Linked DNA regions of Lonchura striata. The protein of the gene in region 1 purifies or fractionates together with the protein of each later gene. This does not show direct contact. Links are inferred from orthologs where the notes say so. Each region holds a gene or a part of one and is shown in the gene's direction. Other genes may lie near its edges.

Region 1 (8,068 bases):
CTGGGATGAACCACGTCCCCAAAAAGGCTGCAGGAGGAGGAAGAGGAGGAGTGGGGTGTTGCTATAGGACACGAGAAAGCACAACAGGAGCCACTGCAATATCAAGGTAAAAAAGAAGAAGGTTTATTCTCTGACTCCAACTTTTATACTTTTCCAAAGGTGACAGTGGATTGGAGAGTGAAGGTGCCACCTCTCCAAAGACATTGGACAAACCACCAGTACATCAACTTCCTCCAACCCCACGAAGGAATGCAAAATAATACATTGTTTATAGAAAATGTGTGGGAAAGTTTTCTAACAGAATGTAAACTCAGAAGGCTTTAGAAAATCTTAAGAATCAGGGCGACAGTGGGGCTATTCAATCCCTGCTCTCAGAAGTCCTGGAATGATACTGCTCAAGTCACACAGGAGATTCCCATTGCCTGATTTTGCTGTGTTGTCCTTTTTTATTGCAAGGAGAGTCAGAGGTGACTCAGCCACAGGAATTCGGGTCTGGAGCTGCAGTGACACCTCAGGAAGTGCCATGAGGGGCTCTGTTGGAACTCAAAATGTCCCTCAGACATTTTTAGAGGTTGCAGGCCTTGGTCAGAAGTATTTTAGACCCTGGCAGGCAGCTGGAAACAGCTGTGATTTTGGGTTTGAGCCATGGAATGAGTTACCAACTTTGAAGGTGGAACAAGCAGTCACAAAGGGTTAGATAGGATAGTAAAAGTAGTTACAAAACAGAGGGGAAATATTTTTAGTATTGTACAGGGGGGTTTTAGCACCTGTACAGGGGGGTTTTTACTTTGTACATGGGGGTCAGAAGTTCTAAGATGGAGGAAAGTGGGCTGATCCTGTTCTTCCTCCTTCTTCTTCCTTGCCTCCATGTTCTTGGTGATGTTGGCACTCACAGATTGGTTTAGAGTAGAAAAGCACTTTGTAATATAGGTAGTAGGTATTGGGGAAAAACTATAAACATGTAATATGTAATATATCATATAAAAGACAGCAGCAGCCCTGGTGGGGAGAGAAGAAGAAGAGGACAGCAGACAGAGAGGAAGTCAGGGTGTGTGTGTGCCTCTACCTGAGCTGTGAGCAAACCACAGCAGCTCGAGGAGAAAATCTTTTAGATAACTCACAATAAATTGCCTTGAGACCAAACAACAAGAGCCTGAGCAGTTTTTCTTTGGAAGCACGGCTTGGAGGAGGAATTTCACCACCACACGGGACCCCTGAACCAGGCTGGGGTTCTCACAGGGCTCCATGAAGGCTCCTCGAAGCCTCATCCCCAGCCCTGAGCGAGGAGGGGATGCTGTCACAGCTCCCAGACTGGCAGGTTGCACAGGCAGGGATGGTGGGCTGGATTTAGCACTTGAAAATCAAGCACGGCCCCCCTGGCAGATCTGCAGCCCAAACATTGCACTCTGTGGGTGCTGCCAGTCCCACTCACGTCGGGCCACGGGAATCACAAGGCAGGGAAATGTGGCTGTGGGCTGCTCTGCTCTGGGAAGGGAAGCGGATCTCTCACACCGTGGAGCTTCCTGCCCTCTAGATTGGTTTCCTCCAATTAATTTACCATCAGGAAAAGAGGAGCAGATTTCTGGCTATTATGTCCCATTGAGCAGTGTGAAAATACCGTTTTAAAGTTATTTAACCTTTTGGAGATCAATTCTCTATTGCAGTGTGGTGTTTTTCCACAGCCCTGTTTTTTCCAGCTGCAGTGAGGAACTCCAAGCTCCCCCAAGCAGACCCAGCCACTGTCAGATATCCTTTGGCTCTTGCCTTTGGAGAAATGCTGGGAATTCTAAAATGGGGAAAGCAGCTCGTGCTTGGAGTGTTTAGCTGCAATGAAGGGAAAGTTGAGAGCACATCCCCCAGAAATGGGGTGGTCTCGTGGCTGATCCACCTCCCTGGGTCCTCCATCTCCCACCCCCTGGGTTTGCAATTTGGGGCTTTAAGTCATCCATGGTACCAAGGAGGGTTTTGTTTTACTTTGAGGGCTCTCTAAAGTAAATAAGATACTTGGGAGTGTTTTAAAAAAATCAAACCCACGGAATATATTGATTTTTGAGGCACGACTAATTCTTCAGGCACTTTGGAAGAGCCAGGGTTGCATGGCCAGGCATCAGGAGGCTGTGAGGGAGATCTGGGCCTTGCATCTCCCTGCAAGCCGGGGTGGCCCAGCCCTGCTCTGCTGACTCCTGGCAATAAAACAACTTTCCACGCCCCTGGGTCGCAGGGAGAAGAATTGTGAAGCTCAGTGGCCACACTTTGGTGTCCCTGTGTGTCACCATGGGATGACTCAGAAGAGAAACGTTGCTGGCTCTGTGTGCAAAGGGCTCCAGCAGCCACGCCGAGGACGCTGAATCACGGAGCCGTGGCACTGGGTTGGAAGGGACCTTAAAGGCCTTTTTGTTCCAGGGGCAGGGACACTTTCCACCAGATCACGCTGCTCCAAGCCCCATCCAACCTCACTCATCATCCTTGCTGCAGCTTGGTTTATTTAAATTAATTACATATTTAAATATTTAAATAAATAAATAAAATGTATGAACTATAGACATATTATATAATAGAAATATATTTTATTATATAGAAATAATAAATATCTATAATATTTTATATTACAAATGTATAAAATATTCACAATATGAATATATTATTGATATAGCAAATATAGTATTTAATAATAATATATATAATAAAATATTATATACTATATATTTTATAATATATAATATATAATATATAATATATCATATATCATATATCAATCATATATAAAGTAAAATATATACTATATAATGTACATTATACATTATACATTATATATTATATATTATATATTATATATTATATATTATATATTATATATTATATATTATATATTATATATTATATAATATATATTATATATTATATATTATATATTATATATTATATATTATATATTATATATTATATATTATATATTATATATTATATGTTATATGTTATATGTTATATGTTATATGTTATATGTTATATGTTATATGTTATATATTAATATTATATGTTATATATTAATATTATATGTTATATGTTATACATTATGCATTATATATTATACATTATATATTATACTATATAAAAATTTAAATAATTCCTTATTTAAATTAAGGCATTAATTAGTCCTGGTGTTAACTTCTGTATCCACTGACTCTTGGTCAAATATTTTTCTTTATCATCATGTTTTGGGTTGGACTCGATGATCTTTGAGATCCCTTCCAGCCTAGTCATTCTGTGAATTCTGAAAATACAAACCTTAGGGCACTTGTGCAGGAAAATAAACAGGCCAATCTTTTTGGTCAATGTTTGAAGCAAAATCTTTTAAATAAGCAGAGTCGAACCAGAGGAATTTATACTAGGATTAATCAGAGCCAAAGCCAACATATTTTTGCCTTTTTTTTTTTTTTTTTTTTGGATATCAGCTGCAGCTGAGCTGCTGTGAGCTGCTGGCTAAAAGCAGCACTTTGTACCTCTGTGATGACACCAATAATTAGAGGGTGAGTCCCTTAGTAACCCTTGGCCAGCCCTGAATTGGTCAGGGAGGTGGATTAGATGCTCATTGTGGGTGTCTTCCTACCGAAATCCTCTCTCCTGTTTGATTCTAATCCATTCCATTCTAATTCCCTTCCTTTCTTTTCCTTCCCTTTCCCTTCTCCCAGCAGCACAGTGCAGCAGGTCAGGATTTCAGCACAAAACCACTATTTTCTTTTCCATTGGAGCCCATGGAGCAAAGCAGAGATGATTCACCCTCAACCTCAAATAAAATCGGGCTTGTTGAAATTCCAGCTGCCTCCAGCAGCTTCCCAGAGCCCATCCTCTGCCCGCCTCGCTGCCTCGGGTGAAAACGAAGGACAAAATGTTCACCATTTAAAATCCAATCGGTGTTTTACCAGCTGCGCTAAAGCTGGGGGGATGGAGCCGTGAGCCGCATGGGCAAACATCTGGCGAGGAAGAACATCTGGCAGAGGCTGCAGGCGGGCGGGGCAGGGAGACGGGAACTGTGGGAACCTTGGGTTTGCTTTGGGGTCTCGTGTGGTGGTGAAGTCTCTCCTCTAAGCTGTGCTTCCAAAGAAAAACTCTGCAGCCTCTTGTTGTTCGGTCTTAAGACAATTTATTGCTGATTATTTAACAGATTGTGTTCTCGGGCTGCGGCTGTTTGATCAGCAGCCCAGGCAGGGATGCACACACTCCTGACACCCTGACTGTGGTGTTTTCTTCTTCTCTCTCCTCACTTAGGGCTGTTGCTATCTTTTGTAAGATATATTACGTATAACATGTTTACAATTATTTCTCAATATTTACTACTTATATTATTAAGTGGTTTTTTTTTTTACTTTAAACCAATTTGTGAGTGCCAACATTACTAAGAACATGGAGGTAAGGAAGAAGAAGGAGGAAGAACAGGATTAGCTTACTTTCCTCTATCTTAGAAAGAACATGGAGGTAAGGAAGAAGAAGGAGGAAGAACAGGATCAGCCGACTTTCCTCTATCTTAGAACTTCTGACCCCCATGTACAAAGTAAAAACCCCCCTGTACATGTGTTAAAACCCCCTTGTACAATACTAAAAAAATTGCCCCCTCTACTTTGTAACTACTTTTGCTATACTATCTAACCCTTTGTGACTGCTTCTTCTACCTTTAAAGTTAGTCATTCATTCTATAGCTCAAACTTAAGACATTTTGAGTTCCTACAGGGAAGCGCCGTGCGAGGAAAACCGTGAGAAAAGCCCAATTGTCTCTGTTAGCATCCTCCGGGGGGGATGCAGCGCTGCCGAAGGGAGCCACGCCGCGGGTGGGGCGGTCACGGGTGTCCCCAGCGCCGGGACCGCCCCGAGGCGTCCCCGCCCCCGGGCGGCTCCAGAGCAGCCGCGGAGCCGCCGCACGCCGGTGAGGGATGCGGGGGAATCCCGGGGGGAACGGGGGGATAAAGCACAGGAATGCTCGGAGGGGAAAGGTTCGGGGTGCTCCGGTGGCCTGGGAGGGCGGGGTGGGAGCTCCGCGGTTTGGGGCGCACGGGAAGCCCCGGCTGGTTCGAGGGGTGATGGAGGCACCGTCACTGCGGGGAGATCCACGGGTGTTTGCGACTCGCGGGGGGCTGCACAGCCCTGCCCGTGCCCCCAAATCCTTGCGGGGTGAGACAGAAGCCCGTTATAATAAGTTGGCATTGGAAGACAGAAGATACTGCCTGGACTTTGTAAGAAATGCTTTTTAGTCTCACCCGTCTTTATTTTTCTGTTCTGGCAGTTGCGTTTAGGAGTGAATAGGTTTGAGTTCTGCAGGAATATCACCGAAGGGGAGAGAACTGGTGTTTCTTTCCCAAATAGAAATCTTTTTCTGCTTAATGTGAACATAGGGAATGTTTGGGGTCAGCTCTGGGATGCTCCCTGCAGCTGATCCTGGGCTGAGACAGAGAGAGCTCAGGTAAACTCGAGCTCAGCTGCCCAAATGCTGCTGGAAATCAGAGCTCAAGTACTCTATGAGGAGTGGATGAAGGAGCTGGGAAAGGGGCTCAGCCTGGACAAAAGGATGTTCAGGGGGGACCTTCTCACTCTCCACAATTCCCTCACAGGAGGATGGATCTGGGAGGGATTCAGGCTCTGCTCCCCGGGAACAAGAGACAGGATGAGAGAAAATGGTCTCATGCTGCACTAGAGGAGGTTTAAGCGGATATTAGGGGAAATTTCTTCATGGAAAAGTTTGTTCAGCCCTGACACGGCTGCTCAGGGCGGTGGTGGAGTCCCCATCCCTGGAGGGATTTAAAAGCCACGTGGATGTGGCACTTGGGGACTCAGTGCTGGGGGAATGGTTGGGCTCCATGGGCTTAGAGGGCTTTTCCAGCCCCACTGATGCTGTGATTCTCTGCAATCCAGCGCTGGGGCACTGCTGAAAAAGTGGGAGAAAACCAGATAACCCAGAGGGCATTTCCAGAGCTCCGGGAGCTCCAGCACTGCAGTGACAGAGAGGAGGTGACACCGGGCTCCACGCCTGGCTGCAGAGGATTAGTGGGGTTTGGGGACTTTGGTTACAGACTCCAAAACTGTCCAGACGTGTCCCCAGATCTGTCTGGGGGACACAAGGGTCTGGCCACCTTGTCCCAAGGGTGCCTAAGGGGATAAAACTTGGGGTTTGCTGCTCCCTGAGGTGTTCCAGGGGGATCATGCAGGACGTCCCCTGGAGCAGCACAAGGAGCACACCATGGAGCACACCTGACCTGGCTGTGTGTGCACCCCAAACTCTGGCTTTAGAAAGAGCCCAGAAGGCAAATAAAAGCTTTGGGAGATATGGGCTGCTCAAACACTCTGGATTCTGCTGGGAAGGCTGCCTTAAAAACCCCGTGGGCTCAGGAGAATGATTGTTTTGCAGGAAGAGAAGCGATTTGCTAGCTGTGAAACTTGGGGGTTTGTTACTCCTGAGGCAGGGCAGCCACACCTCCTGCAGGCTTTGTGCATCCGAATGTTTCTTTCAAAGAGAATTTGCCTTCTCTGTTTTAAATTTGGATTTATTTTTTTTTTCCTTCTCTTCCCTCGTTTCTGGCTCTCCCTTTTTCCTTCTCTTATGAATGCTCCCTTTGATGGGAGGAACCCAGCTCGGGCTATTCCTGAGCACAGGCAGGTGTGTGTTTGCTGCGTGTTTTGTGGACTCACAAAACTTGCAAAGCAGCTTTTATCTGGCCCGGAGCCGCTGTGTCCCTCCCATGGTGCCCTCCGGCTGGAATGGGACAGTTGTGATGTATGGGAGAGGAAAGGGGACCTGGATGGGTGGCTGCCACCCTCCCCTGCCCATTCCAGGCCGTCCCAAGTGTCACAGGGTGGCTGCATGTCCCCGATGTGCTGCGCTGGATTTGCAGCTCCTGGCTGATGCTGTGCCTGCATCCCCCAGGGATCCCATTTGGGGTTTTTTTTTTAATGGAAATGGAAATCCTGGATGGTGCCTCAAGGCTGGGGAAGTGGATAACACTGGGAGTGTTGTAAGCTCGGTGGTGGATTTCCTCCCGAGGGTGGCTGGGCTGGTGCTGGAGCTCACCCTGGGTCAGGGGTGGCTCTGTGTGGTGGAAAAGTCTCTCCTCCAACCCGAGCTTCCAAGGAAAGGCTCAGCAGTCTCTGTTGTTGGTCTCAAGGCAGTTTATTGTGAGTTATCTAAAAGATTTTCTTCTGGGGCTGCTGTGGTTTGCTCACAGCTCAGGCAGAGGCACACACACACCCTGACTTCCTCTCTGACCCCGACTGCTTCTTCTCTCCCCACCCAGGGCTGCTGCTCTCTTTTATATGGTACATTACGTGTTACATGGTTACAGTTTTTCCCCAATACCTACTACCTATACTAAATGGTGATTTTCTATATTTTATATGGTACATTATGTGTTACATGTTTATAGTTTTTCCCCAATACCTACTACCTATATTACAAAGTGCTTTTCTACTCTAAACCAACCTGTGAGTGCCAACATCACCAAGAACATGGAGGTAAGGAAGGAGAAAGAGGGAGGACAGGGCAGGCCCAAATCCCAAATCGATCTTAAAATCTCTGACCCCCATGTACAAAACTTAAACCCCCCTGTACAGCACTCAAAAACTCTTCCCTCTACTTTGTAACTACTTCTACTATAATATCTAAACTTTTTTGACTGCTTGTTCTTCCTGCAAGGTTGGTAAATCATTCCATGTTCAAACTCAAAATCACAGCTGTTTCCAGCTGCCTGACAGGGTCTCAATTGCTTCTGACCTGGGTCTGGAACCTCCAAAAATGTCTGAGGGACACTTTGAGTTCTGACAGGCTGGATCCACCCCGAGCATTCAGGCTGCTCACAGCAGTGCCTCCTGTTTATCCCACAGGTGTTGGACAGGATTTCTTCTCTGGCACCACAGCTGTCAGCTCTGCTGAGCAGGTACGTGATGGCAACTCAGCAATTCCCATCACTTGCCACTCTGAACTGTAATTCCCTCAAAAATTCTCTGGTTTTTGGATGGGGCAGGTTAAGAATGACTGATGCTTCCTTTTTGTTTGTTTGGTTTTTTTTTTAGGAAAAATGTCCGACGG
Region 2 (7,695 bases), on another chromosome or scaffold:
CCCAAAGCCGCCCGCTGGACCTCCTGCCCAGGATCTCCTCTGTGCCTCACCTGCCTCCTTGGCCCAGCGGAGGATGGAGGTCACCTCCTGGCCCTTGGTGGTGTTGCAGCGGTCCCGGGTGACACCGGCGCTGACCCCCAGCGTCCCCTCGTTGGCTTTGACACCGCAGAGGTAGGCGGTGGCCGTGCCTGCGCTGTCGGGCACCTGGGCATTGGTGTTGTAGGTCTGGAAGGTGGGAGATGGATAAACCCCCATCGTTATCGCCACCGTCATTGTCTCACCACTGACGGCACCACCATTCCCACCCTGGGGCTTCCCTTCCTGGGCTGTTTGGCTGCACCAGACCCCCATCCCACCTGTGTCCCCTCTCTTTTGCCCTTTGCCCCCTATTTTACCCCCTACTCCCTCCACCGTGGTGGGACATCCCCCCCTCCACACTGCATTTTGCTGCTTTTAGCCTTTTTTCAGTCCATCTTTTGGCAGGGAGATGGAAGCCACAGCCACGGGCATCCCCACGGGGTGAATGGAGGGGGCCGCCGACTTCAAATTTAATTATTATTTTACAATGTTTCGTTCAGCAAAACGACCCCAGGAGAAGCAGGGGGGTCCCGTGGCGTCCCGCAGGCGTCGGGCTCCTCCTGCCCCCCTCCCCGTTCCCACGGCCGGCCCCTGGCACGGCCAGCGGGCACCGGAGCCAGCTGCCTTCGCTCGCCCATGACCTAATTTCGGCTCGTTCGATGCCGCCCGCCCGTGACCTCGCGGTGGGTGTCGCGTCCCCGTGGGTGCCCCGCGGGGGCTCACCTTGGCCAAGGCCACGAAGGGGAACTTGTCCATCTCCAGCAGGCTCTCCTCGCCCTGCCCGTGCAGCTGCCCTTTGAGGATGCGGGCGGCCGTGACCGTGGAGACGCCCATTCCTGCGGGACACCGTCAGCCAGCCCGGCGGCCCCGGGCAGCGCAGCGCGCTCCGCGCAAACCCCGCTCATCTCTGCTCACCGCACACCCCCTTTAGCCCATCGATCAGTTTATCCCATCATCCAGTTTATCCCATCGTCCAGTTTATCACAGCAACCAATTTTTTTTGCAAGCCCGGTTTATTGTGCAGCCAGTTTATCCCAGCTCCCAGTTTATCCCAGCAGCCACTTTTCATCACAAAGGCAGTTCATCACAGAGCCCAGTTTATTGCAACACCCAACTTTTTTGCAAAGCCAATTCATTCCTGCACGCGGGTTATCCCAGCACTCAAGTTTTTGGCAAACCAAATTTATCCCAGCACCCACTTTATTGCAATCCCAGTTTATGCCAGCACTCAAATGATGGCAAAACCAATTTACCTGAGATCCAATTTTTTGCCAATCCACTTTATCCCTGCACCAGGTTACTGCAATCCCAGTTCATTGCAGCACCCGGCTCATGCTGCCACCCAGTTTATTGCAACTCAGTTCTCCCTAGCACCCAATATTCATTTCAAACCCAATTTATTGCAGCACTCAACTTACTCTAAGTCTTGTTCATACCAGCACCCAGTTTACCCCAGCACCCAACTTAACACAAACCAAACTGATTGCAGCAACCAATATTTTTTGCAAATCCAGTTTATCCAGCACCCAGTTTGTTGTAAACTCACACTATTTACCATAGCACCCATTTTTTTGCAAATCCAGTTGATTGAAGCAACCAATATATTTTCGCAAATCCAGTTTACCCAGCACCCACAAAATAAACTGAGTCTACTGTTAACTCAATTTACCACAGCACCCATTTTCTTTGTAAATCCAGTTCATTGCAGCAGCCAGTTTACCCCAGCACACATCTTTTTCGCAAACCCTGTTCACACCAGCACTCAGCTTACAGGAACCCCAGTTTATCCCAGAACACAACTCACCACAGCACCTATTTTCCCACGACACCCAATGCGTCAAAGCCCCAGTTTATCCCAGCACCCACTTTATTGCAGCCACTTCATCGCCCCCCCGTGCCCCCCAGCCCCGCTGCCCCCGCCCGGGGTGGGTGCTCCCCTCCCATCTCACCGTCCCCCAGGAAGAGGATGAGGTTCTTGGCCACGTTCTGGTTGAGGCGCTGGAGCCGCAGCGCGTTCCTGAGGGTCTCCTGCGCCTGCCGCCGCCAGTACTCGGGGTCCTTCTCCCTCTCTGCAGGAGAAGCGGGCTCCTAGCACCCCACGGCAGCACCTTTGGGGTGCTGCCCCTCCGAACCTCACCTACCTGGGACCAGCGATGCCGAGCAGAGGTGGGCGAGGAGGAGGACTAACAGAGCCTTCATCCTGCGGCGCTGAGCGGGGGCTGCCAGAAGAGAGCTGCGAGGTGGGTGGCACCCGCTCGTGCCTCAGTTTCCCCACTGAGACCTTTGGTCCGGGGTCAACCAAGCGAGGACAGAAAAAATGTCCCCTCCCTACACAGTAACCGATGTGATCCCCCTGGGGACATGCCAGCTTACCCCGCCTCCCCCGTGCCTCCCTAGTCATGAGTCCCATGAGGTGTCACCTCACTGCCACCAACCCGAGCTGGGGGAAGCCAGGATGGTCCCTGTGGCACAGTGAGGTCCCCATCACGTGTGTGTTCCCCTTCCATGTCCACGTCCCCATCTTGTGCTTGTGTACCTCTCATGTGTCCCCATCATGTGTCCCTGTCACCTCCGTGTTCCCATCCCATGCCCATGTCCCCACTGCACATCTGCAGTCCCAGCACACACCCGTGTCCCCACCGCATCCCCTGTGTGTGCCACGTCCCTGATGTCCCCACCACACACCCCTGTCCCCATCCCCATCACAAACCCGTGTCCCTGTTGCATTTCTGTGCCTGTTGTGCACCCGCGTCCCCGCATGACCGCGTCCCACGACACATCCATGTCCTTGCTGCACGTCCGTGTCCCCATCCCATGCCCGTGTGCCCACCACATGCTCGTGGCCCCACTGCATGTCTGTGTCCCTGTTGCACGCCCAAGTCCCTGCAGCATCTCCGTGTGTCCCCGTTGCACACCCGCGTCCTCACCACGCTCCCGTGTCCCCATCACCCCCACATCCCCCCAGCAGCTTCCCTCCGCTGCACGCCCCCTCACCCCGCGCTCCCGGAGAGCCTCCCTCCCCCGGGATGGCAGCGGTGGCCCCCGGGGGGGTCCTTACCGGGGGTGGGGGCTGCCACACACGTACCCGCACTAACTTGGGTCCCTACACCCACGTCCCTCTGGGCGGCGGGAGGAGGCCGGGCCGGGGGGATCGCGAGCCCTTAAATCCCCCCGCACCCGGCCTTAGCCTCCTCCTCCTCCTCCCCTTCCTCCACCCTCCCCCTGCTGCCAGCAAGGGGGGGGGGGGGGGGGCGGGGGGAGAAAAGGCCACAAACTGGGCTTACTGGTGCCCTCTGCCGGGTTATACTGGGAGAACTGGGAGGACTGGGGAGCACCAAGCCTGGCTATAAGTGCTGAGAAACCCTCCCTCGCTTCACACGTGGGAGTTTGGGGTGCCTCTTGGTGGGGTAGACGTGCGCTTTGCCGGATTTTGCATTATTTTCACCCAAACCGTGCTAGCGGCACCGGCGAGGGGTTGGGGTTGGGGTGGGGGTGATGGAGATGAGTGGGGTCTTCCTGCCTCAGTTTCACCACACGGGCTCTTGCAGCAGCCCGCGAGAGATCCCTGGTGGGATCCCGTGGCATTACTGTAGTTCCTACAATAATCACGACGCGGTGACGAGGGCGGGGGGAGTGGGTGACTCTCAGCCCTGCCTCAGTTTCCCCATGGAGGAGGCCCGAGCCGCTCCGTGACCCGCGGAGCCGCCCGTGGCCTCCCAGAAGGTGGCGGTCTCAGCCCAAAAATCGCCGGGACCCTCGGGGTGCAACCGAGGGAGCCCCAACACGGCCGCGATGCCAGAGGACGGGCACGGCCCCTTGCGGACGCTCCAAATCCCTCCGGAACCCTTTCCCCTTTCCCCTTCCCCCGTCTCTTCACCCCTCTGCACCCCCCAGCACTTTCGCAGCCCAGCAGAAGCCATTTGCATCCCGTGGGTGTGATGAGCGCGTCAGTGCTCAGCCCGCCGGGGCAGCGCAGGGGGCGGGAGGTGGCACCGCGTGTCCCCATGCCCGTCACCACGGCAGGGCACGCCGGTGCCTTTCGGCGTGGGAAAGCTCACGCTGGCACACTCGCGGAGCTGCGGGCACGCACGAGTGTGTGCAGCTGCAGGCGTGCAAGCAGCACACGCGCTTGCACGACTGCGCCGCGTGCCCGTCCACAAGCACGCGTGGGGCTGCTGGTGGCCTCCCCGCGCTCGCCCACGCGTTTGCACGAGCGCGCTCGCCCCGCGTTGCTTTCGCCCTTGCACAAGCGGCCGCCGCCGGCATCGCGCCTTGCACGCTCGCCCCGGGACGCCACATCCCCTCCGGCCAGGGAGCCAGGGCTGCCTCGGGGGGATGCTGCCGGCAGCGCCGGGGCACGCGGGGCCCCCCAAACGGGGCTTGCGGCCCCCCGAAAGAGTTAAAGGAGGCGTGCGGGAAGCCCGTCCCTCCGCGGCCCCATTGGTTTCCCATCCCAGGTACATCCTTTGCTCGTCACCCTCGCTAGGCCGCGGCGGCGTCACGAGCGGTGCCGGGGCTCAGCGGGCGCTCGCCCCATCGGGGCCGGGCCGGCGGGAGCGGGGTAACGGCCATGGTGAGTGAGGGGGCCCGGCGACACCCCGAAATCTGGGGGTGGTTGAGTAGGGGCCGCTTGGCCAAAGCGGGGCGCCGGGTGATGTATTTGCCGTGGGATGCTCTTTGTAACCCCATAGGACCCCCCCACTGCATCCCGGGGTACCCCCGGCGTCCCCGCTGGTCACCCTTTGGATCCCCGAGGATCTCCGTGAGACCCTCATTGGACCCTTAAGCGGTCTCCCATTGCATCCCAAGGACCCCCCTAAGACACCCCCAGGGACCCCCGCTGCACCCCCGAGCACCCCTGGGTGCCCCACTCGGGCCCCCCCAGCGGCGTTTTCTTTGTGGCGGGTGGGGTCAGCAGGTGGGGACCCCAAAGTGGGTGCCCCCCTCTGGGTGCCTCCTCAAGCCCCTCGGCGCCCCCAAATCCACTCTTGACCCAGACCCGCGGGGGTTTGCACCTTGTTTCCATCGGCAAAGGGAGGGGGGCGCCCCCCACCCAACTGAACCCACTCTTGTGGGGCTGTTTTCGAGCACCCCCAAACTGGGTTGTACTTCTCCCTATTTATTTATTTATTTATTTATTTTCGGTAAAGTTTAACTCTTTTTTGAGTGCTTTTTAAGCTTTTCTTTAAAAATTACTCAATCTGCACAGTCAGGGTTCCCTACACAACTAGGAGCTCCCCCAAAACCCTGATTAACACCGGCACCCCTGATTAACACCAGAAGTTGCTAATTACCCCCCGGACATCCTAATTAGCAAGCTGAGCCTCGCTGGGCGCTGGCTGTAGAGGTGCGGGGGCACCCATGGGTGCTGGGGGGTGGGGCGGGTGGGCACCGCTTTGCCAGGCGGGGCTTTGGGGGTGACTTGGGGGGCTCAGGGTGGTGTCGGGGCGTCGGAGGGGCTGGGGGAAGGCGAGGAATCGCCATGGCGATCGTGGCTGCGGTTGCTCCGAAATGGCGCCCGGACGGGAATTGAAAGCAGCCGGCGGAGGCGCGGGGTGCCCGGTACCGGAGCGGGGCTCCCCCGGCGGGGCAGAACCGGGCCCTGGGGGACCCCCGGGCCTGGCTGGGGGTGTGCGGGCTCCGAGCACGTGGGGCTTATTGTTTATAGAGCGAAGGAGAGATTTGGGGTAAAAGCAGGGTATTTAATGCCGGGGTTTTTGTAAGTTGTATAGAGGGTGAAACTCCCGTGCGCGGGGGGTTAAAGTGTGGGTGTCCCCCCACCCTGTTGGAGCGGGGAGAATGCGTTTTTATTAGGATTGAAGTAAATAACGGCTTGGAGAGGGGAGTGTGTGACAAAATCTATCCCATTTTTCCCCCCAAAAAGGGGTGCTCCTGCTTCACCTGCTGGAGAGGGTGAGGAGCACCCCGAGGTGCTACTATGTCCTCAGTGTGAAGGATATGGGTGTTAAAAAAATACCTCCTGGGCCCAGTTTCCCCTCAAATTAAGGATGCTGGGGGTCGATCCCAGTGCCTCTCGGAGGTGTTTGGGGGAACTCGGGCTCAGTTTGGGTTCTCTAATGGCTGGTACCGGGTTGAGCCAGCACATCTCTTGTGAAAGGAGAACAGAAAGGGATTCATTTTTTTGTCTTTTTCCTGGTTTTCGGGCTGGGGTAGGCAGGGTGGGGGATAGCTGAGGAAAAAAAGATTGCATTTCCTCAGGAAATGGAGTGAAAGCTGGGATTCCAGGAATTTGGTGTTGCGGAGCCGTGGAGGCTTCATGAATCCCCCCCACCGTGTGAGCGGTGATTTGTGCGCGGAGCTGCCAATTTCAGCCATGTGCGAAGTACTAAAATAGGTGGGAAAAAAAGTGAAAGGGGTTGGGAAAAAATAGGATCTAAACAGAGATTTTCCCCACGATAAAATCTTGCAGTTGAGGCTCTTTCGTCTCACGGTTCTCAGGCTCCAGGCGGGCGCCCAGGGGAGATTTTGGGGCCGCAAACAGAGATTTCGGTACAACCAAGGAGGGAAACCACATCTTTGTTTTAACCCTTTTTCTTCCCCAGGTGGGTTTTGTGGTTAATTAAACTGAGGCTGGGATTTGGGATCCGGGGAGAGAATGAGACTTGTTATTAAGCGTGCAAAGGGAGGTTTGGGAATGCTGCTATTGGAAACAAACCGGTGCTTTCATTCTGCCAGGAGAAATTGAGGCTCGGCTTTGCGGGGTTTGGATCAACTCATCCCTTTGGGATTGATGGCAGCGGGATGGGGGCATCCAGATGGGTTTAAACCCCCTCCTTGTGCTGATTGCGGGTGAAGGGTTCTGAGTGGTGCCGCTCGGGCCATCGGTGGCAGGGTCAAGGTGGATTTTGGGGTGCTCAGCCCCTCGGTGGGGAGTGGAGGGTTGTTTGCTCCATCGGGAGACAATCTGGCTGGATGGCAGGGCAGTGCCAGGGGGAAGGAAGCAGCGGCGGCAGCGCGATAAGGGCCGGCTGCCAACCCGGGAGGTTTTCCTTGTTTTTCTGCCGGGGATGAGATAAGAGCCGGGCACTGGCACAAGATAATGCCCGGAGGACACGGCGCCGGGAGGGATCCCGTCCACAGCTGAAATTCCTGGTGCTGTCTCCTTTGGGTGCTCGCAGGGACTTCTCCGGCTGTTTCAGGGTGCGCGGGGTTCGCAGATGGGGCGTTGAGCGCGAGCGAGCCGGGAGTGTCAGGGAGAAAAGCCATTTTCTCTGCTGCCAGCCTCTCCCAGGTGCCTGGCACTACGGGATTCCCTGGCACAGGGGGGTCGCTCTCCCCACTGCAGGGCGGAGGTGGATCCGGCTTCATTCCAGGCTGAAGGGGAGGTTGCACAACCCGGCCCCGGGGGAAAGTGAGGCGGGTTCGGGCTTTGCTCAGCTCTTGGCTCCGGCCCTCTGTGCTTTCCATAACCATCCTCCGGCTTTGTGTAGTGCTCTGCTACCTCGGAGCTATTCGGGATTTTGCTCCCCGGAGGAGGAGGTGGCTTTAAAAGGTGTGTAAACTTTCCTTGTCCTTCATTTCTTCCTCATTCCCGGGCCACTGAGCACCTCTGATCTCCCTGTGCAGATGTCGACCTACAAGCGGGCAACGCTGGAT
Region 3 (7,596 bases), on another chromosome or scaffold:
GGCCGCCGCCCCCGCGCAGCCCGGCCGGCGGAGCCGCCGCCGTGCGCCGGCGCGGGCAGCGCATGGCGGGCGCGGAGCGCAGCGCATCCTTCCCAGCGCGGCACTTACCGGATCCTGGCGGCCGTGGTGGCGTTGCCGGTCTGTGCCCGCAGACACGCCAGCAGCAGCAGCCGCATAGCGGCCGCTCCGCTCCGCCCGCCGCCGCCTCACCTGCCCGCGGCCCCCGGAAACGGCGCCGCGGAGCGGGGCCGAGCGGCCGCGGCCCCCGGCCCTGCGGGATGGGCCAGCCTGGCCAGAGGGCACTTGGCTACCGAGCCAGAGCTTTGGGTGCCTTCCACAGCTCGGCACCGCGCTGTGTCCTCGCTAGGCACAGAGATGACATGCTCAGATTGTCAATTCTAAGGGCTCCCGAGAAGAGCATCGCAGCCTCTGCCTCCCGATGCCACCCAGGAGGTGCCTCATGCTCGGTGCAGGAATGCCGATAGGAAAATACCTAACCACCAGAACAGCCAGAGGAATGCATTAGTCTGAAGAATAAGGCAATGGCATGGTCGAAGACCACTCCCAGCATCAGGAAAGCCACATAAAGAAGCAGAACCAAAGGTCCGTGAGACCAGGGAAAAGGCAAGAAACCACAGCAACAGCAGAACCCAAAGATACAACAAAACAGGGAAGAAAAAGGAACAAACCTGGACTCCAGATGAAGAAAAGCACATCCCAAAGCAGCAAGCCAGTGTTCAGGATAAAAGGGCAGCTACAGCCACAAACTCGGGGCAGCAGGCAGGAAGGTGAGAGGCCAGTTTGGGGAGTTCGTTGGGACATTAATAGGAAACAGGTGGCTGATGGCAGATTCTCACCTCAACTTATTTCAACGTCTTGTAAAAGTATTGAGACCAGGTGCAGGACATTGGTGGTGATGAGAGGGGGGGCTGAGTGGACAGAAAACTCTCTTTTTTGCTTATAACCTGGTTGCCTGATGTAATTCACCACAGGGTCACACAGATGCTAGCTTCCCCAAAGGCTGGAGAAGATGGGGAAAAGTGGGTTTCAAAAACTGCAGTGCCTTGTTATTTTGGCCTAAATTACTCTTCAAATTTCAGTGTCAGGTAGATAGAGAAAAACATGCTGCATGCTGAAGAATATTGAATTTAATGATATTTGAAACAGTACTTCTTCCAATAAATTGTGTGGATTTCTGAGGCTAACAGGTGTTCTGGAATTGAGGGTTTAGAACTTGTAAAGACACACACTGGAGTGGGTTCTGGCAAACTGTAAACATTTTGCTAGGCAGGCCCGTGTTTTGCTAATGAATCTTAGTGCTGCAGAGCTGTGTTAGCTGCATCTCACTGAGATATCACTTAGATTTAGCACAACATTCTTTAGGCCAAATTCCACCGGAACTAAAAATTTTGGCTGCAACCTAGAAGAGCAACAAATCCTGCAGAAATGCTAAAAATAGGGTAAACGCTAATCTAAGGGTAGGCAGAACCAAACCATTGGTTCTAGAATGGTTGTGTCACCATTCTAGGGAGTGTTACTGGCAGGAAATCCCACTCCTGCTGAGATGTGGAGGGCTTGTGTCAGTCTGGCCAGGATTCCAGCCTCGAAGCGGCCCACGTGAAGCACATTTGGGCTTCTCGGTTGTCCCAGAGCTGAAGGTGTCCCACGGGCTGTGTGAGACTTGCACAGCCGCCCCGCGGCCCCTCCTGGCTCCACAATCTCCTCACTCCCCATCCAGGGGTGTCAGCAGGCAGCTCTGGCACTGTGTGCCCAGAGCAGCCTGTGCCACTGAGGATGGAGATTCTCCAGGCGTACCCCGAAGCAGGGTGTCTGCCTGTGGCTCAGAAAGCCACGTTTTGTGCTAACAAAAGATGTCCTACACCTTTAGTGTGCAACACAAAGAAGACAAAAACGCAAACGTTAAAGTAAGACAAAGCCTGCTCCATGAGAAATGAGGAAACTCAACCAGTCACCTGAGAAATAAGGAGGAAATAAAGGAAACATTCAAAGAGATCTTAACATTTTATCACTATTTATGGTAACTCTGGCTTTATGCTGTATAGGCCTTGCCTAAAAAAAAATAATCTGGAAATGTGCAGCACTGTATCTTGGAAACATGGACATGGCACGAATGTTTTCCTGTATAGACACAGCTGCATTCATTGTGTGCACAGACGGTCGTGGATGTATCACAATGAACTTCGAAACACACTGTAGCTAAGGATTGATTGGAGGGAAACGAAAACCTCCTTCCTCAGCTGCTGCACTTCCAGAGAGAATGTATGGGTTCTACCAGTGAGGTGTGGATTTCAGGGAGAGTGCCTGCACCTCTGTACCTGAAGAGCTAGGTAACATCTTAATGTACATTTCAACTACTGCTCAGCATTGGTAGGTGTTCGTACCAGTTGTGGGATAGGTCAGTGTAGAAATCTCACCTCACTCACCAAGGTCAATTTATGAAGGGTCTAAAACATGAAAATAAGAAATAGATATGAAATACACATGAAAATAACAATAATACAAAGTGTGCCTCATTACTTTGAGTCTCCAGAAAATACTACTAAACTCCTCAGAAACTGCAATCACAGCTAATATGACAATACTGTATTAAGTTAGGAAAATGTAATTTTGTTACAGAATCAGTCATGTTACAGTAGTTCACAAGGAAATGTCTGTACAGCTGGTTGCTTTTTCCTCATTGTCCTTTGTCATGAAATTTCTTAACTGCTTAAGAAAGCAAATATATTTAATGAGTCATTTTTATGGCATATGTTATTTACAAAGGCCCATTATTGAACGAATATATTTACTTTTGCAAGCATCACTTGGTCCCTTACCAACATGGCTCCAAAGTAAGTCATGCCTAAATGTTTGGTATGTAACCACATTATGTCAATAAATTTAACTTTCTCACTGAAAACACACAACCAGCCATGTCTTACCCACTTTGTTCTGGCCAAAAATAAGACTTTAAGATCTGCTGCTGAAGACAATGTGATACATTCACAACGTTTACCTCAACATGTGTAATTGCAGCACATCTCAGGGTTGTAATCTTGCAACCGCTGATTTATGTTTTCCCATTTTAACCACATGCTTTGTCCCACTGAAATCAGAGTGGTCATTCTCCATGTGCACCTGCGTAATTCCTGCATGCCCTCACACCCAGCTGCTGCTCCCACCCCTGAGTCACCAGGCACATCCTGGGTGCTGAGCCAGGCCCAAACATAAAAACACATATAAAACCAGCCTTTTACAGTGCACATTTATCACCTTTTCCTGCTGAAAGGCCTTGTTGTGCGACAACCTTAAACTACAGCATTAAATAACCCTAAAAACCCCAAAGATGATTTGTGGTCTGGAGCATCTCTGAGAGAATGTGGGAGCTGGGTCTGTTTAGTCTCAAGAAGGCTGAGAAGGGATCTCATAAATGCATATAAATATCTCAGAGGCCGAGATATTGGTGCCAGGCTTTTTTCAGTGCCCAGCCACAGGATGAGGAGCAATACACATCAACTAAAGCCCAAGTTCCGCCTCTCCGTGAAGATCTTCCTTTCACTGAGGATGGCAGAGCACCGGAGCAGCTGCTGCAGGCATTCCAAGCGCACCTGCGCCAGGTGAGCCTGCCTGGCAGGGCGGTCTGCGGAGCTCCCTTCCTCGGGGACCCAAGGGTTCGGGGCTGCTGTCGGAGCCCACTTCCCTGCGGCAGCGGAGACAAAGCGGGAGAGGAGCCGCACCCCGGCTTCCCGGCTCCGAGGGGCACCGCGAGGGGAGACGGGCCGGCCGCTCTGACAGACACCGCGAGGGGCCGCCCGGCCGCTCTGACAGACACCGTGAGGGGCCGCTCGGCCGCTCCGAGGGGCACCGGGAGGGGAGACAGGCCGGCCGCTCTGACAGACACCGTGAGGGGCCGCTCGGCCGCTCCGAGGGGCACCGGGAGGGGAGACAGGCCGGCCGCTCTGAGGGGCACCGCGAGGGGCCTCCTGCCCGCTCTGACGGGCACCGCGAGGGGCCTCCTGCCCGCTCTGACGGGCACCGCGAGGGGCCTCCTGCCCGCTCTGAGGGGCACCGGGAGGGGAGACGGGCCGGCCGCTCTGACAGACACCGTGAGGGGCCGCTCGGCCGCTCTGAGGGGCACCGTGAGGAGCCTCCTGCCCGCTCTGACGGGCACCGCGAGGAGCCTCCTGCCCGCTCTGACGGGCACCGTGCCGCCCGCCGGGGCTCCCTCACGGCCGGGCCACTTCCGCCCCGCCGCGCCCCACTGCGGCACATGACGGCGGGACGGGCGGAGTGACAGCGCTCTCGACCAATGGCAGCGCGCCGCTGCCGGGGGCGGGGCCGGGCGCCGGCGGAGTGGCAGCGCCCCCGGCCAATGGCGGCGCGGCGCTGCGCGGGGGGCGGGCCCCGCCGGGCGGGCCGGGAGCGCGGCGCGGCCGCGGCGGGGCCGGGGGGACGCGGGGCCATGGACGAGGCCGAGCCGGGCGAGCGCAGCCCTTTGCTGGGCAGCGGCGAGCGCGGGCGGGCGGCGAGCGGCGCCTTCCAGGGCCGGCGGCTGGCCTGCGCCGCCGTGCTGCTGGCCGAGCTGCTGGAGCGAGTGGCCTTCTACGGCATCACCTCCAACCTGGTGCTGTTCCTCAACGGGCCGCCCTACGGCTGGGAGGGCGCCCAGGCCAGCCAGGCGCTGCTGCTCTTCATGGGCATCACCTACCTGGTGTCGCCGTTCGGGGGCTGGCTGGCTGACGCCCTGCTGGGCAAGTTCGGCACCATCCTGCTCAGCATGGCGCTGTACCTGCTGGGCATGCTGGCCTTCCCCGTCATCGCCGCGCCGCACACCCGCCAGGGCCTCTGCGGGGACATCCCCCTGTTCCCCGTGGAGAACTGCTCCTCGCCGGCGGCCAACGCCACCCCGGCGCCCTGCTCCCAGGTGGGAGCCGCCCGCTACTGCGCCACCGCCACCTTCGTGGGACTGGTCCTCGTGGGGCTGGGCGTCGGCTCGGTCAAGGCCAACATCACCCCGTTCGGGGCAGACCAGGTCCAGTATCGTCCGGCGGCCGCAGCGCTCGGGGGTGGCACAGGGGCTTGCCTCGGTGGGTGGGCAGTGCCCGAGCGACTGACCTCTCTGCAGGTGCTCAGCCTCGGAGGGACCGCAGCACCAGCTCTGTGCCCTGCGCACTGCAGCTTGTTCAGTTCGGTGTCATTTTGGTGCCTGTGCGGTGTCAGATCCCTTACCAGCCTTGCTTTCCTGGTTTTCCTGCCTTAGCTGTGGTGTCTGAGTTGGCTAAGCCATCGCCGTCTTGAGGACTTGGGTTGAATACTTAATGGCCATTAAGTGGACTGTTAATTGTCCACGCTGGTGAGTTTGTACCCAGTTAATTTGACCTCAGAGCTCATCAGATGAAGTACAAGACACACATTTTAGCTGTGACGAGGATGACATGGGCCTTCTAAGGCAGTGTCAGAGGCCTTTGCCTTTCTGTGGTAAAGGAAGGCTGCAGAACCGACAGATTTTCTCCTTCAGGTATTTGTGCACTGCACTGCCCTTGAGTGGCATTTCTGTGCAGGCTCGTGCTGCATCACATGATGGGGGAAGCTGCTCTGACCCTGGTAAACATCACCTGGCTGTTCCTAAGGACACAACCTGTCAAATGACCTCACAGGGACCCGCCACAGTGCTGTCATTCATTGGGTCATCACTGCAGAGCCCAGGGGCTGCACAGAACACACGTGAGAGGCGACCTGCAGCTCAGCAGCAACTGGAACGCTCTGCTACGTGTGCTTTTTTTACAGCCCTGTGCTAAGGCGGTGTGCTGGCTGTGGATGTTGAAATGTAATTTCTGCTTTACAAATGGAGAATTTCAATATGCTCAGGTACTGCTGAGCAGCTTTTCTAACTAAACTGAAAGTCCAGTTGCGTGTCTGTTGGCTCACTGAGTTGTGGTTAGAGCAGTTACCAGAACTGCCATGAATTCTTTGAAAGAGGGAGAATCCACCACAGAATCATTGTCAAACATACCTCTGTTCTCTGTTGTGCAGTTTGCATTTGTCTTTCTTTGGCATTTCATGTATTCTAAATTCTGGGTAAAAGGCAGTATATAAATGTAAAACATTATTACAGCCCAGGACTGTGTGTCCCCAGTGCATTAGCTCTGCTTGAGCCAGCCTCAGCCCATCAAGTGAAATAGCTTTAATATGGCTTTATCTTGTAAGGTGTTTTTCAAAACTGACTGCTTATCCCCAGAACACTTTATGAAAGTTAAATATGGGAGATAAATAATGGCAGGAACAGAGCAAAAGAAGAACCATTGCCAATGGAAGTGTAGCTCTTGTAGCTGGATTTTGTAGAGGCTTTTCCCCTAGGATTTCAAAGAAAGCAGGTTTTGGCTGGGTTTGCAGATAATTCACAGTGATTTATGTAGGGTGAAGCAAAAGAAATACTCCTTTCTGGGCCATAATAATCAGTGGAGCTCTGCCGAGGTCTGAATTTTTCCCCTTCTCCCTTTTTCTGGCTTATCTCTTGTTAAATATACTACAGGATGCCACTTACCTTGGAGTGCAGTTTGGGGCCCTCTTGGGTGCCTTTTCCCTGCATAGGAATGTAGAAAACTGCTGAGGAGATGAGTATATATCTATATAGCTGTATATCTATATCTGTGTATATCTCTATCTACCTATCTGTGTATCTGAGAATAAAGTCCATCCCAGAGCCACATTCTTGGGAGGCCAGAGCACATTGTAGATGTGTTTTGGCTGGATTTGTGTGCTGATAAGATTTGTCCTCTTTCCCCAAAGGAAAGGATGAATTGTATATTACGTACTTTAGTTGGCACAGTCACCTTTCAAAATATTAATTACATTTAAACATGACCAAATGAATTTCTCAGCTTTAACGTGTGTATAGAATTTGGGTGGAGAGCTCTTGTACAATGAGAGGTTTCTTTATTTAGCAGAATCACTTTGTGGAAAATCGGAAACTGAATTGCAATACTTACTTTTCTCTGAAGTTGGAAGGTGTGGTTTCTAACTCTCCGTTGAGTGCCTGCGTTTAGAAGTGTTGTAGAGTTAGTGTTACTGTTCAGGAGCACACATAATCACGGTGCAGGTGCTTTTATTGGGAGCTCTGGGATCAGGGGTACAGCCCCAAATCTGACTCCAACATGGCTCTCGAGCTGAACGTATTTTATATTCTATCGTTATAGAAACTTACATATTAATTATTAAACTTATATTGTTCTATTGTATACATTGATCTTATTCAACCATTAGTTTCTCGTGATGTTTTTCAAGCCTCTGACTACAGGTTCTCATGATTATTCTTATGATTAAACAGTAATTATGTTTAATTTCTAAACAATCATCACATCTAACAATTATATCATTTATCATATACTGGCTACACAGGTGCAGTTCTAGCAAGTACAAGGCCTATACTTTCCCAGGGTATTTTCCCAGGGCCTACTAAGCTTAATTTTCCTTCTAACTCCCCAAATCTCCATGATTTTAAAACCCTTTTACTATCATTACGATCAAGTAACTTCCACCAGTCAGTGTAGCAAAAAGAGTTCCTGCAAAGCTGGGACAGACAGCTTTTCTCAGCTG
Region 4 (7,901 bases), on another chromosome or scaffold:
CCAATTGCTGAAAAAAAAAATTACAAAGAGATGAAAAATTTGTATCACCAATCAAGAATGTCTTGAGAAAGTTTGAGAGGAAGTTGGCACAAAGAGTAGAAAGAAGGCAAGTTACTAGAGAAAGTCTTTTCCGTGCAAAAGCTGAAATGTATTAAAACCAAAACAGATCATGAGCATGCCCCAATACAGAAAAATATACAGAAAAAAATTAAATTAGCACATAGATCTGGAACAGCAAGCCCATGAAGAGCCTAAGGCCAGTGGATGATGATGATGATATAAAGAGCCCTCACAGAAGAAAAGGCCCTATCTGGTAGGCAAAGTGAGTGGTTGTCATCAGCTTGCACTTTGGAAGAGAAAGACTTAAAATTACAGTTCTTCTGCTTGGCAAAGAGGCACACAGGAGTGAGATCTAGTCTAAATAACCAGGACAATCATAATGGCATAAAGTGTTTGCATTTTCCAGTGTTTCACATTAGTTATCAAATGAGCCCTATGAAATATCTGATGAAGCTGACAAATGGCAAGTTCAAAGTAGAAAAAGTTTGTCAAAGGATATTGAAAACCTCCACAGCTCCTCCCTCCTCCCTTTCAAAAGAAAAAAAAAACAATTACAAATGTTCTGTGGTAAACAATCTTGGCCAGAATAACAGTAATTTATTGCTTGCTTTTATTTAATGTGTTATGTTATTTTCTTTACCAATTACACCCAAACTCTACTGCAATGCTATTTTAAGCAGTGGCATGTAAGAAACCATTTAATTATGAGCTTAAAGTGAATATTCTTTTATTTTTCTCCTCAAAGTGTATTTCTTACTGTTGATGACATTTTAATTGGCATTTAATGGGAATTTGTGTGCTTTTTTTTTATCCCTTACAGCTACAGAATCGTGCACCTTTCTCAGGGTGAGAGAACTTCAGGGTTACATGAAGTCCCAGAACCCTGATGAAATCTTGGTTCATTTTCCTACTGCTGCTGTTCCCAGCTTCTCATACAGTGGTAATTCCCATTCCTCATCTTTTGGATCCTTTTAATTCTGAGAGGCTTGTATTTTCCTCATCAATCTTTTTCTCAGTCCTCCATTCCCTTGTCTTTCTTGGGGGCTGCAGTAGCATCCTCAACTTTTTGTTTTCTTCAAAGCCAGTATTTAGAGTTATCTCACATTCATACAACCATGGAATCACAGAATGTTAAGAACTGACTCCAGGCAGGCCATGGGCCTTGCAGTTGTAGCCAACAACACATCCACTAGTCCATGAAGACTGTCCTTTAAACTATCTAAATATTGCAGTATCATCCCACCATTATCAACTGCATAAAATCCATGGGATTTCACATGCTGTTTCTCTCCTCTGCTTTCACTTATTTATGTGGGGAACTGACAGAAGTTGACATTTCCAAGTCTAAACTGTTTCCAAACCTCTTACATATGACATTCTATGCAGATGTTGTTGGTAAAGAACTGTTTATATCTGCTTATTAAAAATGTAAGGTGGATTTTCTTTGCATATCATCTGTTGTTTAGGTGCTGTTTACTTTCAGTTCTGAACAGAAATCTTTTATTTTGACTCATTCCCTTCATCATCCACTGTTTTACAGGTCTTTGCACCCTGAAAAAAAGTAAAAATTTCACCATGGCCTAATTTTTTATTTTCCAGTTTGCACACAGATTTTATTTTCTTTACACACTCAAATATTTTCTCTTTTTTCTTTTTAAATTTGTGAGTCTATCCAATAATGTCTCAAACTATTTTGAAGTATACGATTTGTTCTGTTTTTCTAGAACAGTGTTTAAGCAAGTAAGGATCGGTGTACCCATCTTTTTAACCTACTGAGGCATCCTCAGCTTTTTTAGGCATGTACACATCCCTAGAATTGAAATACTTCTTCCTCTAATTGTTATGGAAAAGCAAGCTTTGTTTTATGGTTCCAGTCATTTTCTGTTGGATGACGTCACCAGGTTTGTTGTTAATTGAAATAAAACAGTAGAGGTGTGCTGAGATAGAAAATGGATGTTGGCACTCAAGAGTTTGCTAGGCAGAGGGGGAAAATATACAGAACTTCACATCAAGGGGGAAAAAAATATATTTGGAACCCAGAAGTGCCAACTAAAATGTCACTAACATAAAGAGGTGGCATTGTTCAAGATGCCTGACTGAAGTGCATGTTTGCTTGATTACTTTTAGCACCCTAAATGAGGTAAAAGTGTTTTGGAGACACAGCCCACCTCTCGTGATATTCTGTGAGCTGCTACTTTCAAGTATAAAGACAACAAAAATGCACAATGAAAAATCATTGTTGAGTCCCTGTTTAAATTCTCTCTGTGGAAGCTGAAGTATTTTACTCCCATCTGAGGTTTCTTTTCACAAAGAGCCAACTTCATATGCTTTAATGGATTATCCAGGCACTTATGTTCCAGTGAGAGCGAGGAGGCAGAACGACTTCACTTTTCAAATTAAAGAACCACGTATGCTTCTGGAGAGAGAATAAACTTTAAGAGAACAGGGACAAAAAGCTGCAGCAGAGGAGACAGAAAAAGGCATTACTGACATTAGATCTATTATGCAAGTGGTTTTTACAGTGCAATTGGCAGAGATCCAGAGGCTGGAAGGTAAAAAAAGGGGATCCATGGAGAGATGTGAAGGAGTCCAGGCGGGTGAGGGGTTCACGGGTGTCTGAGGAACCAGGGGGTGTGTGAAGGGGTGCAAGGGGTGTGTGAAGAACCAGGGAGCGTCTGAGCAGGTCCAGGGGCAATGAGCATGATGGGGGCACTGGAGCATCTCTCATGAGGACAGATGAGGGAGTTTGGCCTGCTCAGCCTTGAAAAGAGGCAGCTGAGAAAAAACATCATCCTTGTTTATAAATATCAATAGGAGGGTGCCAGGGAGATGGTGCAGTTTGGTGATGGTCAATCACCAGGGTGAGAGAAACGGCAGGGACTGATGCACAGGAACATTCCACCTGAGCATGAAGAACTTCTTCCCTGTGCAGTGACCGAGCACGGGAACAGATTGTCCAGGGAGGGCGCGGAGTCTGTGTCTCTGGAGTCATTCCAGAGCCGTCTGGTCACAACACGGTGCCATGTGCTTCGGGATGACCCTGCCGGAGCGGGGAGATCGGCCCAGATGACCAACTATGGTCCCTTCCAGCCGGACCCAGCCTCGAGATTCTGGGTGGTGGCTGAAGAACGGGGGGTGTGAGTGGGTTCGTGGGGTGTGTGAAGAACCGGGGGTTTGTTAGGGGATCTGGGTGTGTGTGCGTGAGCAACAGGAGGGATCTGAGGGGATCAAGGGCATACGAGGGGTCCGAGGGGCTGTGCGAGGCACCAAAGCATGTGAGAGCTCTGGGGGTGCGTGTGAGGGACCCAGGGGGTGTGTGTGTGACGGATCAGGCGGTGTCTGAGGAGAACCGAGATCTGAGGAGATCAGGGGGTGCACTTGAGTCTGGGGGTGTGTGTGAGGGACTCTGAGGGGAACTGAGAGGATCTGGGGGTGTGCACGGGAGGCCCTCGGTGCGTGAGGGGCTCCAGGGGTGTGTGAGGGGATCCGGGGTGGGTATGGGAGCTCCGGGGCTGTGTGAGGGGCTCCGGGGCCGTGTGAGGGGAACCGGGATGGGTATGGGCGCTCCGGGACTGTGTGAGGGGCTCCAGGGGTGTGTGAGGGGAACCGGGGCTATGTGAGGGGCTCCAGGGGTGTGTGAGGGGCTCCGGGGCTGTGTGAGGGGAACCGGGGTGGGTATAGGAGCTCCGGGGCTGTGTGAAGGGCTCCGGGGCTGTGTGAGGGGCTCCGGGGCTGTGTGAGGGGCTCCGGGGCTGTGTATGGGCGCTCCGGGGCTGTGTGAGGGGCTCCGGGGTGGGCATGGGCGCTCCGGGGCTGTGTGAGGGGCTCCGGGGCTGTGTGAGGGGCTCCGGGGCTGTGTGAGGGGCTCCGGGGCTGTGTGAGGGGCTCCGGGGCTGTGTGAGGGGCTCCGGGGCTGTGTGAGGGGCTCCGGGGCTGTGTGAGGGGATCTGGGGCTGTGTGAGGGGAACCGGGGCTGTGTGAGGGGCTCCAGGGGTGTGTATAGGAGCTCCGGGGCTGTGTGAGGGGACCCGGGATGGGTATGGGAGCTCCGGGGCTGTGTGAGGGGCTCCGGGGCTGTGTGAGGGGCTCCGGGGTGGGTATGGGCGCTCCGGGGCTGTGTGAGGGGAACCGGGGTGGGTATGGGAGCTCCGGGGCTGTGTGTGAAGCTCCGGGGCTGTGTGAGGGGCTCCGGGGCTGTGTGAGGGGCTCCGGGGCTGTGTGTGAAGCTCCGGGGCTGTGTGTGAGGGGCTCCGGGGCTGTGTGAGGGGCTCCGGGGCTGTGTGTGAAGCTCCGGGGTTGTGTGAGGGGCTCCGGGGCTGTGTGAGGGGCTCCGGGGCTCTGCGCGAAGCTCCGGGGTGTGTATGGGCGCTCCGGGGCTGTGCGCGAAGCTCCGGGGGTGCCCCAGGGACCCCGAGGGCTCCCGGGGGCTGCCGAGGGGTCCCGGCTCCGCGAGGCACCGCGCGGCCCCGAGCGCCCCGCCGCTCCTCTCGCGAGACGTGGCGGCGGCCGGCGGGGCCGTGCCGGGCGGGATCGCGGCGCGCCCCCCGCCCCTCCCAGCGCCGCCGCGGGGCGGATGCGGCGGGGCCGCCATAGTGCGGGCGGGAGGAGCCGCCGCCGCCCGGCCGGGGACGCGCTCCCGCCGCCCCCTCCGCCGCAGCCGGGAGCGGGCGGAGCCTGCGCGGCGCCGCCGGTTTTTTCCCCGCCGCATCCCTGCCGCCGCGCCAGCCGAGCAAGCGGCCGCGCTCCCGCCTGGGCTGAGCGGGGTCGGGCGGAGGGACCGGAGGCAGCAGCGGCGCCGTCACCTGGCGCTGCGGCGGGGGCGGGGCGCGGCGCTGTGTCTGCGGCAGCCCCGGGGCGCCGCTCGGCCGCTTAAAGCAGCGGAGCCGCCGGCTGGGAGGGGCGTTCGGAGCAGCGGCGGCCGCGGAGCGAGGGGAAGGCATGGAGGGCAAGGAGCTGGCGGCGGGGTCCACGGGGGATGAGGGCTCCAGGGATGCGCTGGGCAAGCCGCTGGGTCCCACGCCGAGCCAGAGCCGCTTCCAGGTGGACCTGGTGGCCGAGGGGCCCCGCAAGTCGTGCGGGGACATCGGCGCGGCGGGCAAGGGAGGCGAGGAAGCCAAGGGCAGGTTTCGGGTGAACTTCGTGGACCCGTCGGCCGGCGGCGAGAGCCCCGGCGAGCCCGGGGGAGGCAGCTCGGAGGGCGGCAACGTGCAGAACGGCGGCGACACGGTGATGAGCGAGGGCAGCCTGCACTCGGGCGGGCACCACCACTACTACTATGACACCCATACCAACACCTACTACCTGCGCACCTTCGGCCACAACACCATGGACGCCGTGCCCCGCATCGACCACTACCGGCACACGGCCGCCGACCTGGGCGAGAAGCTGCTCCGGCCCAGCCTGGCCGAGCTGCACGATGAGCTGGACAAGGTGAGAGCGGCTCCCGGGCTCCCCCGGCGCCGGGGGTGCGGCAGCTCCTCGGAGCGCGTCGGCAGAAAAGCTTAAAAAAAAAAAAAAAACAAACCCAAAACACGAAAGCTCGCCGAGCCTCGAGCAGGCGCATATAGCGCGGGTGCATAGCTTGCGTCTCAGTTCTGTTACATATTTATTTTTTTTTGTCTTTTCCTGACGCAGTGGAATCCATCCCCCCACGAACACGTGCTTTTGGGAGATGGTCCCCCAGTGCCAGAGGTATTTTCCGTAGGGTTGTTTTCCCTGTCACCGAGCTGGGATTCTCTTACAGGTTTTCCACGTCCAAATCGCCTCCAACAGATAGCGTATTGATTCGGGGGCTCGCCATGGGAACTAGTGTGGGGAGGCGAGTGAACACATTTGGTAGAGACGCTAAAAAAATGAAGTAAATAAATAAGGATGCGCTTGCTTTGGTAGCGGCCGGAGGTTTGTCTCTGCGGCTCCGAGGTGGAGCCCGCTGGATCCGATGGGATCTGGATCGGATGCTGCTGGATCTGCACAGGCACAGATCCTGAGCCAGCCTTCCCAGGGCTGCTCCTGTGCCGCGGTCAAGGCTTGAAAAATTTCGGAGCTGTGCGTCTCAGGCTTTTTCTATTTTGGACTAGGAGTCCGTGTGTTATTTGAGACGAGTTGACAGTGAGAGCCTTCTTTGCATTGCAGGCTGGCTTGGCTAGAAGACCAGCTGTAACTGAACGTAGAATTAATTTCCCGGGCTTATTTTTTTTTTTCTTTAACTATCGTCACTAAACTAACTCCAGATAAAGATTAAACTCTTGCAATGCTGTTTTCTCACTGTTTGAAAATTGGTGTATGGCTGTGCTCAGGAGCCAGTGTTTTTAAGTGAGGTCTTTCTGCTGGGTTTAGGGAAATAAATGCATGGGCCACATTCCAAGGAAGTGAATATTTTGTTTCCAGAACTTTTTTTTTTTTTATCACACTTTTCACTGCTTATAGGTGGAGTTCCTTGAGGAAATGTGTATTCTTTCCAGATTTACCTGTTTCACACCATTATTAGGCTTCTCAGTGCATCAGCACTGATGTGTGAGGTTTGGGGTTTTTTTGGGGGAATGGTGGTGATTCTTTGAGTGTGTTTTTGACACTGACTGTGGAACTGTTCCAGTAGAAAGAGCTGGTTGGTGCATTACAAAGATACTTGTTTGTGACATCTGAGATTAGATGACAGATTTTAATTACTAACCATAACTCCAAATTACTCCTGCCTTCCAGGTCCCTTTTTGATGGCCTAAATGATGATCTGTGGTCTGGTTCTAAGATAGCAGTAATTGCCAATTGAGATTTCATACTATGTGTTTGGACTTGGGTAAACTATAAATAACACACATATATGTGTGCTCGTAGTACATTGGTCTTCTGTCCTGCTGCTCCCCCAGATTTCTGATTCCTGGTCCATGATAGGATGACCAGGTGTGTTGGATACTCAGCTTTGTAAGCAGAATGTTTCTCAGATTTCTAAGCTTGGCAGATAGATTTTTCAGTGTGTTAATGTTGCAGCACTGTGGAAAGCTCTTTGATACCATTAAAATATTTCAGTGCAGAATATAGCATATTCTGGACCTACAGCTTCTAAAATTGCAATTTCTTTATTAAGAAGAAATTAATGGCAAGGAATTTTCTTTGTAGTCTGTGGCACAGAGGAGTGGTAGACAACCTAATTACAGGATCATTATCAAAACAGTTTCATAGCGAGTATTAATTAATACAAGTTATTAATTTCTTAAGTGTCATTAATTCATTCTGCAGTGTGGATAGATGTACATGTGAAGATACTTCTTTTTTTAAAGCCATGCCCTCTCTGTTTGGGCCTCTCTTCCCATCAAGTGAATATTGGGGTGGAATATGGAATTTTAGTTGTATTTGGTATTAAGTATTAATTTTTAAAGAAGGTCACAGTGTCAACTTCAGAATTTTAAGCTGAAGTTCAATGGAGTAACTCAAGTGTTCTATCGCAAGATGTTTACTGTCCAAAGCCATTATGGTGTTAGCAGCTACTTAGGCTTATAAGAAGAAGGGAACCATTATTTTTGCTTCCAACTTAGCAAAATACTTTCCAGATAAAGCTGTGAACACAAAAGCTTTTAATAAGGGTGTGTTCTGCATGCTAATAGCATCAGATACCTACGTTCCTGGCAATCTCATGGGAGTATGAAATTCATCCCATCTCTTGATTATGTGTATTGTTTGTGAATACAGAGCCCTGATAACTTTTAAATCAGGAGTGTGCTGTACTTTTATTTGGAAGATGTTCTCAGAGCTGATGTGCTTTTTTTTACTGTTTCCAGGGGTCTTACTGTCTCCATTCTCAGAGTGAATTAAGTTCCTGCTGAGTAGCAGGTCTCTATTGTTGAATA

Evidence for each region.
Region 2: the proteins of LGALS3 (region 1) and ECE1 purify together in Homo sapiens (affinity purification with mass spectrometry; 3 studies listed by BioGRID and IntAct, counting the BioPlex papers as one, with this or other methods). This does not show direct contact. The link is inferred for Lonchura striata from reciprocal best matches to the Homo sapiens genes LGALS3 and ECE1.
Region 3: the proteins of LGALS3 (region 1) and SLC15A4 purify together in Homo sapiens (affinity purification with mass spectrometry; 3 studies listed by BioGRID and IntAct, counting the BioPlex papers as one, with this or other methods). This does not show direct contact. The link is inferred for Lonchura striata from reciprocal best matches to the Homo sapiens genes LGALS3 and SLC15A4.
Region 4: the proteins of LGALS3 (region 1) and SLC12A2 purify together in Homo sapiens (affinity purification with mass spectrometry; 3 studies listed by BioGRID and IntAct, counting the BioPlex papers as one, with this or other methods). This does not show direct contact. The link is inferred for Lonchura striata from reciprocal best matches to the Homo sapiens genes LGALS3 and SLC12A2.

What each region holds. Positions count from the first base shown.
Region 1 is NC_134608.1:3,560,325-3,568,392, forward strand, and holds the start of LGALS3 (galectin-3), read left to right. Parts: upstream 1-4,860; 5' UTR 4,861-4,918; intron 4,919-7,863; 5' UTR 7,864-7,916; intron 7,917-8,052; 5' UTR 8,053-8,057; coding exon 8,058-8,068. UniProt on the Homo sapiens protein: Galactose-specific lectin which binds IgE. May mediate with the alpha-3, beta-1 integrin the stimulation by CSPG4 of endothelial cells migration.
Region 2 is NC_134626.1:6,143,716-6,151,410, forward strand, and holds the start of ECE1 (endothelin-converting enzyme 1), read left to right. Parts: upstream 1-4,418; 5' UTR 4,419-4,648; coding exon 4,649-4,651; intron 4,652-7,044; exon of another isoform or gene 7,045-7,239; intron 7,240-7,416; exon of another isoform or gene 7,417-7,591; intron 7,592-7,665; coding exon 7,666-7,695. Other genes in the region: ALPL (alkaline phosphatase, tissue-nonspecific isozyme), read right to left, coding at 51-225, 802-914, 2,028-2,147, 2,220-2,277. UniProt on the Homo sapiens protein: Converts big endothelin-1 to endothelin-1.
Region 3 is NC_134620.1:14,451,237-14,458,832, reverse strand, and holds the start of SLC15A4 (solute carrier family 15 member 4), read left to right. Parts: upstream 1-4,442; 5' UTR 4,443-4,462; coding exon 4,463-5,032; intron 5,033-7,596. Other genes in the region: GLT1D1 (glycosyltransferase 1 domain-containing protein 1), read right to left, coding at 109-176. UniProt on the Homo sapiens protein: Proton-coupled amino-acid transporter that mediates the transmembrane transport of L-histidine and some di- and tripeptides from inside the lysosome to the cytosol, and plays a key role in innate immune response.
Region 4 is NC_134642.1:83,894,453-83,902,353, forward strand, and holds the start of SLC12A2 (solute carrier family 12 member 2), read left to right. Parts: upstream 1-4,849; 5' UTR 4,850-4,998; coding exon 4,999-5,490; intron 5,491-7,901. UniProt on the Homo sapiens protein: Cation-chloride cotransporter which mediates the electroneutral transport of chloride, potassium and/or sodium ions across the membrane. Plays a vital role in the regulation of ionic balance and cell volume.